Linked DNA regions of Saccharomyces cerevisiae S288C. The protein of the gene in region 1 interacts with the protein of each later gene in a biochemical or structural test. Each region holds a gene or a part of one and is shown in the gene's direction. Other genes may lie near its edges.

Evidence for each region. Proteins that work in one complex are often made in the same cells at the same time.
Region 2: of the proteins of CSR2 (region 1) and UBP2, one has a biochemical effect on the other in vitro, tested with the Saccharomyces cerevisiae proteins (one study listed by BioGRID).

Annotation. Positions count from the first base shown.
Region 1 is NC_001148.4:623,993-633,218, forward strand, and holds CSR2 (Csr2p), read left to right. Parts: upstream 1-3,887; coding exon 3,888-7,253; downstream 7,254-9,226. Other genes in the region: YOP1 (Yop1p), read left to right, coding at 1-210; APL4 (AP-1 complex subunit gamma), read right to left, coding at 477-2,975; NTO1 (Nto1p), read left to right, coding at 7,523-9,226. UniProt on the Saccharomyces cerevisiae protein: Transcription factor involved in the regulation of fermentation and aerobic oxidation. Acts as a repressor of CYC1, which is involved in electron flow through the mitochondria under aerobic condition.
Region 2 is NC_001147.6:554,324-560,230, reverse strand, and holds UBP2 (ubiquitin-specific protease UBP2), read left to right. Parts: upstream 1-1,588; coding exon 1,589-5,407; downstream 5,408-5,907. Other genes in the region: IAH1 (isoamyl acetate-hydrolyzing esterase), read left to right, coding at 1-270; putative monooxygenase CAT5, read left to right, coding at 500-1,201; Paf1-complex subunit LEO1, read left to right, coding at 5,661-5,907. UniProt on the Saccharomyces cerevisiae protein: Has an ATP-independent isopeptidase activity, cleaving at the C-terminus of the ubiquitin moiety in natural or engineered linear fusion proteins, irrespective of their size or the presence of an N-terminal extension to ubiquitin.

The DNA of each region.
Region 1 (9,226 bases):
TATTTGATTCCATTCTACTGGTTTTTGAAAACCGTTTTCTTAATCTACATTGCCTTGCCTCAAACTGGTGGCGCTAGAATGATCTATCAAAAGATCGTAGCCCCATTGACCGACAGATATATCCTAAGAGATGTTAGCAAGACAGAAAAGGATGAAATTAGAGCTTCCGTCAATGAGGCTTCTAAGGCTACAGGTGCTTCTGTTCATTAAGAGGCAACTCACCTATATCCTCAAATCAAACTCTCGTTTTTGTTCTCTTTGTTATCTATTCTATTGAGAGCATATAAGTACATATGTTATTAGTTGTTATATATCGCTACTTAACATATAAAATATTTTGGAGTCGTTTATGGTGTCCCAGAAGATAGCATTTCTATTCATCGTGTTGTGTCGTGACGTGTCTCTTGATATGCGCGACAGACCATCCAACGCAAGGTCATTAATCATGTTATGTTCTGTAATTTTAAAGGCATTTTTTATAGAGTTTCATCGAATTTGTGATCGAACTGTTCATTGGTGATAGATGAAGAGCCATTTAAATGAAAATCCAACTTAACTCTTAACTTCAGTTTCCCAGATCCAGAAATTTTCAATGACTGCTTGCAAATTTGGCTGGCGTTTATTGTGGAAGATGGATATAACTGGCCTAGTGTTAGCTTTTGAGCTTTAGGAACGGCACAGAAAGTTTTTAAGTCAGATATTAAAGACTTTGCCTGAAAATATAAATCCAAATGTGCTAATCCAGAGTTTGCAGAGAGCAAGGAAGCATATACATTCAGTGAGGAACTGTCATATATCTTGTTGGCATCCAATGGTAAGGTGACACCTGAGTTTGCCTCCACTGCCGACGAATGATTGATTGATTCTTCCTTGTTCGCATTTTTGGGCACCTGAGCAATGTCATTCTTCTCTCCAAAAATCTCTTCTAATATGTCAATTGGTTTCACATTGTCACCAGTAGAAGCCTTGCTTTCAGCCTTGCTATCCTCACCCAATAAATCTGACAGCAGATCAACTGGTTCGTTGGAGATAAGGTTTTTCGATAGAGCTTTTCCATTATCCTGTTCCTCGGTAATTTTTTCAAATTTAGGCATTGTTTCTAAAATGATCTTCTTCACAGAAATTGACTGATTGAAAAATATCTCGTATTGATTGCTTTTCATTTGCAGTGATAAATCAGTGGAATCCGTGTAGCTCAATATCAGTTGTCTTAGTTTTTCAATATTTTTCGCGTCATGGAACCTCACAGATAATTTTAATGCTGCTGTTAAAATGTAATTGATTATCTTCAGATTCGTTGCTGTGTAGAGTTCTTGCAAAGTTAGTAAGTAATCAGTAATAGATGACTCATTGATTATGTCTGCACCATTTTTATTGCCCTCGTTGAGTACTAAATCGCCATATTCGCCAATGCACCAAATCAAAACCAACTGCCAACCAATATTTTCCTCGGAAATCTCCGCTGATGTTCCATTTAGTGAAATTGTCAGCATTTTCCGTAAAAATTCAGATTTGTCGGATAACTGGCTCGTATTATTTATTATGATTAGAATATCATTAATTTTTTCATAGTTGATAAACGATCCCACTAATTTTAAGATATTAAAGAAAACATCTAATTTCCAGCTTTCATCTTTGACAACGCGGGTATCAAAAGTGTCAATTAAGTGATCTATAGTGTATATTATGAGATCTTTTGAATCTTCATCCTGTTTTGCCAAAAATTTCATCAATTCGTTAACCAATTCCACTAAATTTGAATCGTCCAAGATGGCGAAGCTCAACTCTAACGCTCTCATGCGGATCGACACATCGGTATCCTGCAGACAATGAGAAATGAATTTTCTATGCCTTTGTACTGCGGTAGGCTCTTGGGGAACAACTTTTAATAAGGTGTTTAATGAAACGTATTTAGTATTATTATCTTTTCCTGCAAGAAACTTGGCCAAGATGTTAATACCAAGGACACGTAGAGGCTGGTTCAAATCCAACGAAAAGATCGTCTTCACGGTCTCATAAAGAATGGCCTGTCCGCTGTTTTTCGTTGAATCCGTATTCGTCGCAATACGAGTCAATAAATCGCAGAAATTATCTTTGTAGTCCAAAACATTGTTCGAATTTAAGAGCTCACCAACTTGAAAGTATAGTTTTAAAGTGTAAATTATTTCACACTGCAGAAATGGGTCACAAATACCTTGGACATCATATCCAGGTTCAATATTTTTAGAATTCATATTTTCCAAACGAATGAAAAAATCACGCAAAAGTAAAGATAATGGAGACAAGATGTCATTGCTGTAATCAATACCGTCTTCATCTTCATCCTCATCTTTTTTTCTGTTCAATCCAATTAACAAAATAGATTGTATGATTTTCGTAACGCCTAAAAGTACACCGTGAGTACATATTGAATGACTAGACAATATCTTAGTAATGTCTTCGATGTTGAAGATTTCTAAAAGTGAAACGTCTTTGAAAATTAGTTTGGCAGCACATTGAAGCGCTTTTTTCAAGAGGAAAGGGTCTCTTGAATTTTTGATGATATTTTCGACGTCTGGGTATAAATCTCTGGCTAATTCAGGGGAGCTCAAAAAGCCTAATGAGGTTAGTGCAAGTGACACTGCATATTTGTTGGGATGATGCAAATCGTTGTTCAACATGTTCGTTAAGAGTGTCAATAAATCTTCAGATTCGTCCAACAATAAAGTTGCGGCCAGATAGCCTAATCTTTTATCGACAAAATCGTCAGAAGCAATTAAATTGATAGACTCCACCTGACCGAAATGTGTCTTTTCCCCTAGAATGTATAGATACAGAAGTTTCTGGATATTTACTCGCCTTTTTTCATGTGGTAGATGGTCATCTCTCAATTTTGTCCTAATTTTAGCAGATTGTTTCGTTATAATTGCCCTTTCATCTGCCAGTGTTTTGGCACCACGAACGTCTTTGATAAAGCTTCTCAACGAAGAGCCCATTATGGTGTTCAGGTCTTTCTCGTTGCTAAATCAAGATGGTCAATATTTCTTCTCCAATATTAGCAGTATAAAATCTCGAAAAAGTATGATTTAGTTGTAATTCTCATATGGCCAAGCCCACTAAATTCAGTGAATACAAACAGCTAAGGACGTCAAAACTCAGAGTCGGGTAATCTTCATTTGAATTTTTTTTCTCTTAAGGTAGATAACACCAAAGAAAAGCAATCAGTAGCAAAATATGGACTTTAACGCTGTCAGTTCCAATTGAGAAATATCGTAAAGAAAGTTAGTTGTTTTCACTCGCAACCTCTCTACCTTCGTGGCCTAAAATAGATTTAAATAATCGAATAAACGGTTTGTTCTTATATGTGATACCCTCTTTCACCACCTTCCTGTAGCCCCAGTTGGTATTACTTGTCCCAACCTCATTCCTCTTTCCATTATCAATTAATCGGTTTGTGTTGTTCGTAGCAGGACCACACTTCCGGAATTATATACATTTACATGTATATAGAGAAGAAAGCTTCGGCGGCTAAAGAATAGAACCATCTATTACCCGCTCGCCCGGTCGTTTGGATGCGTGGGTGGTATAGTTTCTTTTTTTTCATTTTAAGGGATACCGCTCCCCACGTACCCCACGACCAGCCCTAGTGGAATAAGAAATGCAAAATCCGGGGTTGGCGCAGCGATTCTGCACGGCCAAACCCTGGGCTTCTTTATTTTGTAGATCTGCCAAATGATGGCTATGCCTTACTCGGTATCACATGGAAAAGACCCCCGGCTTATTGAATCCCGTCTCCCGTTCCCTGCATAGTTGTCACGGTTTGGACTATATATATCGTCGTTTCTCTGTTTTATTTATTATGATGGCTCTCCAAGGGTAATCAGTCAGACTAGTAAGCAAAGTCAATCATGCAATCTACTGTCCCAATAGCAATTGCGAGCAACGGCAACAAGAGAGATGTCGTCCAGAACGTTTCTGCAGGCGACGAGGGTGATATATTGCAAAGGCTAGCCCGTAACAGAGAGATGATTTCTACCTCCCTCTCGCCACAAAAATCGTCAGGATTTAGTGGTAGAAGGAGGTCATCTAGTGTTAGGGACGCCCTTTCTTCTTTTTTTGGAACTGGTAATAGTCCAACATCTAGTATGGACGATTATTCCAATTTGATGAACCGTAACTATTCTACCGCATCAACTGCCATGTGTAGGGGGAACAGTTTTCCTTCAGATGTTGGCACTAAGGCTTACAATATTACGGGATCTTACCAACCGGATAGGCACAGGAATTCTGTTCCGTATACCACCATAGACCAGTTACACACAAGGCAAGACACCGGGTTGAGGAGAGAGTCAGATCCAGTCGCGGCAAAACAAATATCTAGTAATAATGATATTGTTAGGTCATTCATAACACATCATGCTAGTAATAGCACTATGTTTATTAATAGGGTGCTATCGGACTATTTAGCGGATCGTGGTTTCATCAAGCAAACACCGTTATATAATAAGAAAAGTGTGCTGGAAATTTCCATTGCAACAAGTGCAGAATCAGTTTTCTTGCCAACTACAAAAAGTGATGAAACAGAGTATCTATCACTGATTCATGGTTCTTTAAATCAGGCGCGAACACAGCCTGTCGGGTCCACTAACACTGCAGAAAGTGATTTCCTCCCTTCATGTCCTACGATGGACACTTTGAATGAAAACAATGATTTATCACTATTTCCGTTACATACACAGCGAACCAGCCCCTCTAATACAGCAAGGACAGGTAATGCTATGGATACAAGCAATTCTGATCGTGCTTCTCCGGCCTCGAACAATAACACAACAGATGCGGATTCCTTTGTTGCGAGTGGCAATAACAACCCTATGAATAATAACAATTCTCCCGCGAGAAACAGACATCCTAATTCTCACTCGCGTTCTCTTCCTAATGCTTGGAATAGCCAAATGCCTTCATTCAGCTTTGCATTGATATTTTCCCTGAATAAATCAACTACCCTTTCTGATATTAAAGTAGAACTCACTTCTAACGTGAGAGTGGTGTGGTTCAATGGTCTTCCCCCTACCAAGAATGTTAACGAGGAATGCTATAATATAGGTTCTTTGGACTGGACCTTAAATGCAGACAACTTTAATCTTTTCATTCCGCAAGGCGCAAAGTCTCCTCTTGATATCGTTGAAAATCATTCCAATAACAGGAAATTGAAAGTGCTCCAGAAATTATCGATGAGGAAACGCCGTTCTTTCTCGAATAAAGCAGTTCTTAGGGAAAATATATTAAACAATTTAAATGCCTCGAATTCTACGAACAAGTTAAATGCTGGTGTTTATGTCTTTACTATCCCCATAGTGCTTGCCAGTCGTATTCCTGAATCGCTTTACTACCCATCAGCGAGGGTATCCTACAGCTTAAGATTAGCGACAAAATTGAAGGATGAACATACACAGTTGGTTGCATCACGGCCACGTTCTTCTTCTATCTCTTCTCCTCAAAAACTGCGTTCATATTCCTGTTCTGATTCTTATGAATATTCTCAAATTGATGACACCATAGAAGGAGAAACCTACAATAACGACAAAAATTCTACTGGAAAAATCGCATTTCCCTCCTCATGGTTAAAAAGTGCGAAGGGGCGCTTAAAAAGGAATAATTCTAACGGAAGGTCAGATAATAATGGCGCATCTTCTAGTGGTTTAGCGATGCAACATGATTCTGAAGACACTATAAATTTACAGTACCCGCTTAATTTGGTGAGAACTCCGCCAGAAATCTCTGTCACTACAGCAAATAAGCCACTTTACATTAACAAGGTTTGGGAGAATTGTCTTTCTTATGAAATTTCATTCGCCCAAAAGTATGTGCCCTTGAATGGTGAAATTCCAATCACAATTAAAGTGGCACCTCTAGTAAAAAGTCTTAGTGTCAAGAGAATTCGTGTTAGTTGTAGAGAAAAAATCTCCTACAGGAGTAAAGACTATCAATATGATTTTGACCAGTTGGATCCATTGGCTTCAGATCCTTGCAATCCCTATCATATGAGATATTTAGTGAGAAAAAAGAAGGACAGAAGCTTGCCTCTATTTGAGGTGGCCTCTAAATGTACTAGTGGGCCTTCTATTAGAGAGGAAGTTGTCACCAATACAGTTGATGATAACTTATTAGCCTACACTTCATCAAAAGAAAACAACAAAGATATCCCATTTTCTGAGTCCTTTACTGTTAAAACGAAGTTAAAATTTCCAAAATATTGTGAAGTGGACGCTACCAAAGCTGCAAGTCTACCACCATATGGTATCGATCTTTTCGACCCAATAAAAGATCCAACTCAGAGTGAGAACACCTCTAATAACGGCAATGTATTGGGCTTTCTAGTGGGTCGCCCTAACAGGGCTTCCAAGACAGTTCATAAAATACCGCAAGACAAGAATCATAATGAGGTCAATGATACAAATGGAAACTCGAATACATCTTTGCAAACTAGCTCGAATGTTCCCATTCAGCACTACACACGGTTGAATAAACCAAGACGCGGTTTATATTTGGACAGTATGCATTTTAAGAATATCCAATGTTCTCATAAATTAGAAATCGTCTTGAGGGTTAGCAAAACTGATAGTGGTAGCTCAAAAATCATAAGGCATTATGAAGTAATTGTTGATACACCAATTTATTTGATTTCTGACCTTTGTAACACTTCAAATATAGACTTACCGACTTATGACATGGCCACCACTGAATCTTCTAAAGTCCTGCCACCAACTTTTGAAGAGGCAACATCAGTTTCAGCATCACCAAGATCTTCTGTATCTTATTATCCCGATGACATTTCCATGCAACAGTTGAATTTGTCTAGGTCGACTTCCCTCGCAAATGGTTACCTGTCAACCTTACATCCAAAAACAACCGCTGTTTCGGACTCGTCTAACGGTGCCCCAATCCGGGACCAGCAAGAGCAACAAGCACGCCCCTTGAGGACTGAAGATTATGCGCTACAAATGGGGAATGAAAATAACGCCTATAGCAATATGGACGGTTTGCTTTCGCAGGATATCTTTGAACAGGAGACCGCGGCCACGCTATTTAAAAGAGACATTGTCACAATGAACTTTAACAATAATATATTCACACCACGGTATAGTCCGCGCACTTTTACCAATACCGACTACAATTATAATGATAATGATAATAATGATAATGATACAGAGGGGCCTGGTCCAATAATTCATCCGGGTCCTGAACCACCAAGATATGACGAGATTTCATCATAAATATTAATATCTTCACTTTTTTTATAAACCTCACACACACATATATATATACATTTGTACAAATATGTACCTGTCCGAACTAACTTTTTTTTTCGTGTAATATACGTAGAATATATGTCTTTCGGCTCATCGCAAATTGTAGCACCGAAAAAAATGGAAGACGATAATAATAAACAAGTTTGAAAGTTTGAAAGCCGTGCAGTTTTTCAACGTATTAGGTTTTTTTATTCAAATAACTTTGACAAGGGCGTTGTACGACTTAGCACCTAATGAATAGGGGATCATTAGATGATGGGCCTAAACTACGTGAAGAAAAGCACTTCCAAGATTTTTATCCTGATCTTAATGCCGATACTTTACTGCCGTTCATCGTTCCCTTAGTGGAAACAAAGGATAACAGCACCGATACTGACTCAGATGATATTTCAAATCGGAATAACAGAGAGATCGGGAGTGTCAAAAGCGTACAAACTAAAGAATTGATTTTCAAGGGGAGAGTCACCACTGAACCACTAGTACTGAAGAAGAACGAAGTGGAATTTCAAAAATGTAAAATAACTACGAATGAGTTAAAAGGTAAGAAAAATCCATACTGCGTTAGATTTAATGAGAGCTTTATATCCAGGTACTATCATATAAACAAAGTAAGAAATAGGAAGAGTTATAAACAACAACAAAAAGAATTCGATGGTGTGGAGGCACCCTACTTCACCAAATTCTCTAGTAAAGAAGCCCCGAATATTACTATTTCGACGAGTACAAAGAGTGCAATTCAGAAATTCGCTAGTATTTCACCCAATCTTGTTAATTTCAAGCCTCAGTATGACATGGATGAACAGGATGAATTATATTTGCACTACCTTAATAAGAGGTATTTTAAAGATCAAATGTCTCACGAAATATTTGAAATTTTAATGACTACACTAGAAACTGAATGGTTCCATATTGAAAAACATATACCCTCAACGAATAGTCTGATTGCTAGGCATAATATTCTAAGGGACTGTAAGAATTATGAGCTATATGGTTCTGATGATGGAACAGGTTTATCGATGGACCAGGCGTGTGCAGTTTGTTTAGGCACAGACAGTGACAATCTGAATACAATTGTCTTTTGTGATGGATGCGATATTGCTGTGCATCAAGAATGTTACGGTATAATTTTTATCCCGGAAGGAAAATGGTTATGTAGACGATGTATGATCTCAAAAAATAACTTTGCCACTTGTCTAATGTGTCCAAGTCATACAGGTGCATTCAAACAAACAGACACCGGTTCTTGGGTACATAACATTTGTGCTCTATGGCTTCCAGAGCTATACTTTTCAAACTTACATTATATGGAACCTATAGAAGGCGTTCAAAATGTTAGCGTATCACGATGGAAACTTAACTGCTACATCTGTAAAAAGAAGATGGGTGCTTGCATTCAGTGCTTTCAAAGAAACTGTTTTACAGCATATCATGTCACGTGTGCCCGTCGAGCTGGTCTCTACATGAGTAAAGGGAAATGCACTATTCAAGAATTGGCCTCTAATCAATTCTCCCAAAAGTATTCAGTCGAAAGTTTCTGCCACAAGCATGCACCTAGAGGATGGCAAACGAGTATAGAAGGTATTAATAAAGCTAGAAAATACTTCTCTCTACTCTCTACATTACAAACCGAAACTCCTCAGCATAATGAAGCTAATGATAGGACAAATTCAAAATTCAACAAAACAATTTGGAAAACACCTAATCAAACGCCGGTAGCACCACATGTTTTTGCTGAAATATTGCAAAAGGTCGTTGATTTTTTTGGCTTAGCTAACCCACCAGCAGGCGCATTTGATATTTGCAAATATTGGTCAATGAAAAGGGAGCTTACAGGAGGTACCCCATTAACTGCCTGTTTTGAAAATAATTCATTGGGGTCCTTAACCGAGGAACAAGTGCAAACAAGAATAGATTTTGCCAATGATCAGCTCGAAGAC
Region 2 (5,907 bases), on another chromosome or scaffold:
ATTTATTCCGATGCCTTAGCAAAACTAGCCAATGAGGAAAAAGTTCCCTTCGTGGCTTTGAATAAGGCGTTTCAACAGGAAGGTGGTGATGCTTGGCAACAACTGCTAACAGATGGACTGCACTTTTCCGGAAAAGGGTACAAAATTTTTCATGACGAATTATTGAAGGTCATTGAGACATTCTACCCCCAATATCATCCCAAAAACATGCAGTACAAACTGAAAGATTGGAGAGATGTGCTAGATGATGGATCTAACATAATGTCTTGAATGCAGTAATCCTTTGTACGTACTCTGTCTATATTTCCCTAACTTTTAAGCAACTGTATAATTTTTCATATACGGGATTTTCAGGAAAAAAAACAATAGAAATCTATAAAACATGTTTCCTTATTTTTACAGACGAGAGTTTTATTCTTGTGAAAACGTCGTTATCTTCTCCTCCAAACCAATTCAAGGAATAAAGATATCACGTATACGGGAGAGATACATAGAAATTATGTTATCCCGTGTTTCAGTTTTCAAACCTGCCAGCAGAGGCTTTTCCGTCTTATCATCTTTAAAGATAACAGAACATACATCAGCAAAACACACCGAAAAACCTGAGCATGCTCCCAAGTGTCAGAATTTATCAGATGCTCAGGCTGCATTTTTGGACCGTGTTATTCGTGTAGATCAAGCTGGCGAATTAGGTGCAGACTACATCTACGCTGGCCAGTACTTCGTGTTGGCTCATAGGTACCCTCACTTGAAACCTGTGCTAAAGCACATATGGGACCAGGAGATACATCATCATAATACTTTTAACAATTTGCAATTGAAAAGGAGAGTCAGGCCTTCCTTATTAACGCCTTTGTGGAAGGCAGGAGCCTTTGCAATGGGGGCTGGTACCGCATTGATTTCTCCAGAAGCAGCTATGGCTTGTACTGAAGCTGTCGAGACAGTAATCGGAGGGCACTACAATGGCCAATTGCGAAACTTGGCCAATCAATTCAATTTAGAAAGAACAGATGGAACAAAGGGTCCAAGTGAGGAAATCAAATCCTTAACTTCTACTATCCAACAGTTCAGGGATGACGAGCTAGAGCATCTAGACACCGCTATCAAGCATGATTCGTATATGGCAGTTCCATATACAGTTATCACTGAAGGTATTAAAACGATTTGCAGAGTAGCTATATGGAGTGCCGAAAGAATTTAACCACCAGAAAGTGGCATACATCAGTCGCGTTATGCCAGAAAAGGAGAATTGAAAGGAAAACGGTTTGATAAATGTCCTAATTAAACTATCATGTATAAAATTATGTATCATCCTTACGCATTTTAACGCTATATGACCAATATGACAGGAATAGATACACTGTCTATAATTATGTAAATGGGGTATGGGTTCATAGTCTAAGGGTGAGTACAAACTGGATCTTTAACAAGAGTAACAGTTAATTAGAGCAAAACTATAGTACATATAGCTTGAAAAAAACAAGCGGCTTGCCATTGGAAGAACATTGCATAAAAACGGGGCCACTGCTAATAATAAAGTGGTAATTAAAAAGAAAGCTTTTGTTCAAGGTTAAGAAGGTATAAGGAAATGCCGAACGAAGATAATGAACTTCAAAAAGCAATTGAGAACCATCATAATCAACTACTAAACCAGGATAAAGAAAATGCTGACAGAAATGGGTCTGTTATAGAAGACCTCCCATTATACGGGACAAGTATAAACCAGCAGTCTACCCCTGGAGATGTTGACGATGGAAAACACTTACTGTATCCAGATATTGCCACCAACCTACCACTGAAGACTTCTGACAGACTTTTGGACGATATACTTTGCGATACTATTTTTCTCAATTCTACAGACCCGAAGGTCATGCAAAAGGGCCTGCAATCGAGGGGTATTTTAAAAGAGTCTATGCTTTCTTACTCAACTTTCAGAAGTAGTATTCGCCCTAACTGCTTGGGTTCATTAACTGATCAAGTGGTTTTTCAAACAAAATCCGAGTATGATTCCATTTCATGCCCAAAATATAATAAAATACATGTATTTCAGGCGGTCATCTTTAATCCATCACTGGCAGAACAGCAAATTTCAACTTTTGATGATATTGTTAAAATTCCTATTTATCATCTTAAGGTTAGCGTAAAAGTCCGCCAAGAACTGGAGCGGTTGAAGAAGCATGTCGGTGTTACTCAATTCCACTCACTAGATCATTTGCACGAATACGATCGAGTAGACCTTTCGACTTTTGATTCTTCCGATCCTAATTTGTTGGATTACGGTATTTACGTTTCTGATGATACTAACAAACTGATCTTGATTGAAATTTTTAAACCCGAGTTTAATTCACCTGAAGAGCATGAGAGTTTTACTGCCGACGCAATTAAGAAGAGATACAATGCTATGTGTGTAAAAAATGAATCACTAGATAAAAGCGAGACGCCATCTCAAGTTGACTGTTTTTACACACTTTTTAAAATTTTTAAAGGGCCTTTGACGAGGAAAAGTAAAGCGGAACCTACAAAGACAATTGATTCTGGAAATTTGGCCCTTAACACTCACCTGAATCCTGAATGGTTAACGTCCAAGTATGGATTTCAAGCAAGCTCAGAAATCGATGAGGAAACTAATGAGATATTTACTGAATACGTCCCTCCAGATATGGTGGACTATGTAAACGATTTGGAGACAAGAAAAATTCGAGAATCGTTTGTGAGGAAGTGTTTACAACTGATATTTTGGGGTCAACTATCTACCTCATTACTGGCACCTAATTCTCCCTTGAAAAATACGAAAAGCGTAAAGGGAATGTCTTCATTACAAACTTCTTTCTCAACACTACCTTGGTTCCATTTATTGGGAGAATCCAGAGCAAGGATTCTATTAAATTCCAATGAGCAAACTCATTCGCCTTTGGACGCAGAACCTCATTTTATTAATCTTTCCGTTTCGCATTATTATACCGATAGAGATATAATCAGAAACTACGAATCTTTGTCTTCTTTGGATCCTGAAAATATTGGGCTGTATTTTGACGCACTGACATACATTGCAAATAGGAAGGGGGCATATCAATTGATTGCTTACTGTGGAAAACAGGACATTATAGGCCAAGAAGCTCTAGAAAATGCTTTGTTAATGTTTAAAATTAACCCTAAAGAGTGTAACATCTCCGAATTAAATGAGGCGACTTTGCTATCTATTTACAAATATGAAACATCAAATAAGAGCCAAGTAACCTCTAATCACCTAACAAATTTGAAAAATGCTCTAAGATTGTTGGCCAAATATACCAAATCTGACAAACTAAAATTTTACGTCGATCATGAGCCCTACAGAGCTTTATCCCAGGCATACGACACACTTTCAATTGACGAGTCTGTTGATGAAGACATTATAAAAACTGCATATTCGGTCAAGATTAACGACTCTCCCGGATTAAAGTTGGATTGTGATAGAGCACTTTACACCATTGCTATCAGTAAAAGAAGCCTTGATTTGTTCAATTTTTTAACAGAGGAATGCCCACAGTTTTCCAACTATTATGGTCCAGAGAAGCTTGATTACCAAGAGGCATTGAAGCTTCTTCAAGTGAATGAAAATGCCTCTGACGAAACCATTTTGAAAATCTTTAAACAAAAGTGGTTTGATGAAAACGTTTATGAGCCTGACCAATTTCTTATTTTGAGGGCAGCATTGACCAAAATCAGTATAGAAAGAAATTCAACTTTAATCACCAACTTCTTACTAACTGGTACGATAGATCCAAATTCCTTGCCGCCAGAAAATTGGCCAACTGGCATTAATAATATCGGGAACACCTGTTACCTAAATTCTTTATTACAATATTACTTTTCCATTGCGCCACTAAGAAGATATGTATTGGAATATCAAAAAACGGTAGAAAATTTCAATGACCACCTCTCTAATAGTGGGCATATTAGAAGAATTGGTGGAAGAGAAATTAGTAGAGGCGAAGTGGAAAGATCTATTCAATTCATATACCAACTTCGCAACCTTTTCTATGCGATGGTTCATACAAGAGAAAGATGTGTAACACCCTCAAAAGAGCTAGCATATTTGGCATTTGCTCCAAGTAATGTTGAAGTAGAATTTGAAGTGGAAGGCAATAAAGTAGTTGATCAAACAGGAGTTCTTTCGGATTCAAAGAAGGAAACAACGGATGACGCATTTACTACAAAAATAAAGGATACAAGCCTGATTGATTTAGAAATGGAAGATGGCCTTAATGGCGATGTTGGTACAGATGCGAACAGAAAAAAAAATGAATCGAATGATGCTGAAGTAAGTGAGAACGAAGATACAACAGGATTAACTTCACCTACGCGTGTGGCAAAAATCAGTTCTGATCAATTAGAAAATGCTTTGGAAATGGGTAGGCAACAAGATGTTACTGAATGCATAGGAAACGTGTTATTTCAGATAGAAAGCGGTTCAGAGCCTATCCGATATGATGAAGACAACGAGCAATATGACTTGGTTAAGCAACTATTTTATGGTACTACTAAACAAAGTATTGTTCCTTTGTCCGCAACAAATAAAGTCCGTACGAAAGTTGAAAGATTCCTATCGTTACTGATAAATATTGGCGATCATCCTAAAGATATTTATGATGCGTTTGATTCTTATTTTAAAGACGAATATCTGACAATGGAAGAGTATGGTGATGTTATACGTACCGTTGCTGTTACAACTTTTCCTACTATTTTGCAGGTACAAATCCAAAGAGTTTATTACGATCGTGAAAGATTAATGCCGTTTAAATCCATTGAGCCCTTACCATTCAAAGAAGTTATTTACATGGACAGATACGCGGATACAGAGAACCCTTTATTGTTGGCAAAAAAGAAAGAAACAGAAGAAATGAAGCAAAAGTTGAAGGTAATGAAAAATAGACAAAGAGAGCTTTTGAGTCGTGATGATTCAGGGCTTACAAGGAAGGATGCATTTTTGGAGAGTATCAAGCTATTGGAATCGGATACCATAAAGAAAACTCCTTTAAAAATTGAGGCTGCTAATGATGTGATAAAGACGCTGAGAAACAACGTTCAAAATATCGATAATGAATTGATGAAATTATACAATGATATCAACAGTTTGGAAGAGAAAATAAGCCATCAATTTGACGATTTCAAGGAATATGGTTACTCACTGTTTTCGGTTTTTATTCATCGCGGCGAGGCCAGTTATGGTCACTATTGGATATATATCAAGGACAGAAATCGCAATGGAATTTGGAGGAAGTACAATGATGAAACCATCAGTGAGGTCCAGGAAGAGGAGGTCTTCAATTTCAATGAGGGTAACACTGCAACTCCATATTTCCTAGTATATGTCAAACAAGGACAAGAAGGTGATATTGAGCCATTGAAAAGAATTCTAAAGTAGTCTTAGTCAATGAAGAGTTTATGTAAAATGTCACTATTGCCATAAGTACCATTATTATGTAAAAAGCTTTGCCATATTCAATCGTTACGGGTGACTATCTGCTACGTAAAGAAAAACGAAAAAACAAAAAAAAAAAGAACAAGCTCATAGAAGTGAATACGAAAGCTGAAGAAAGTCGTTAAGTAGATAGGTTGCGTAAACTAGGTGCGTCCAATCAAAGTAATCCAATTAGATATACTGGACTATAATTAAGATGTCATCTGAAAGCCCACAGGATCAACCACAGAAGGAGCAAATCAGCAATAACGTCGGCGTTACCACCAATAGTACAAGCAATGAGGAAACAAGCCGCTCTCAAGATGATAATGTCAAGGAAGTCAATGGAAATGATGATACTAAAGAAGAGGAACAAGAAGAAGACGCAGAACTAGATGATTTATTTGGAGATGACAATGATGACGATGATGATGATGATGTTAAAAAATCGGAGACTGAAAAAA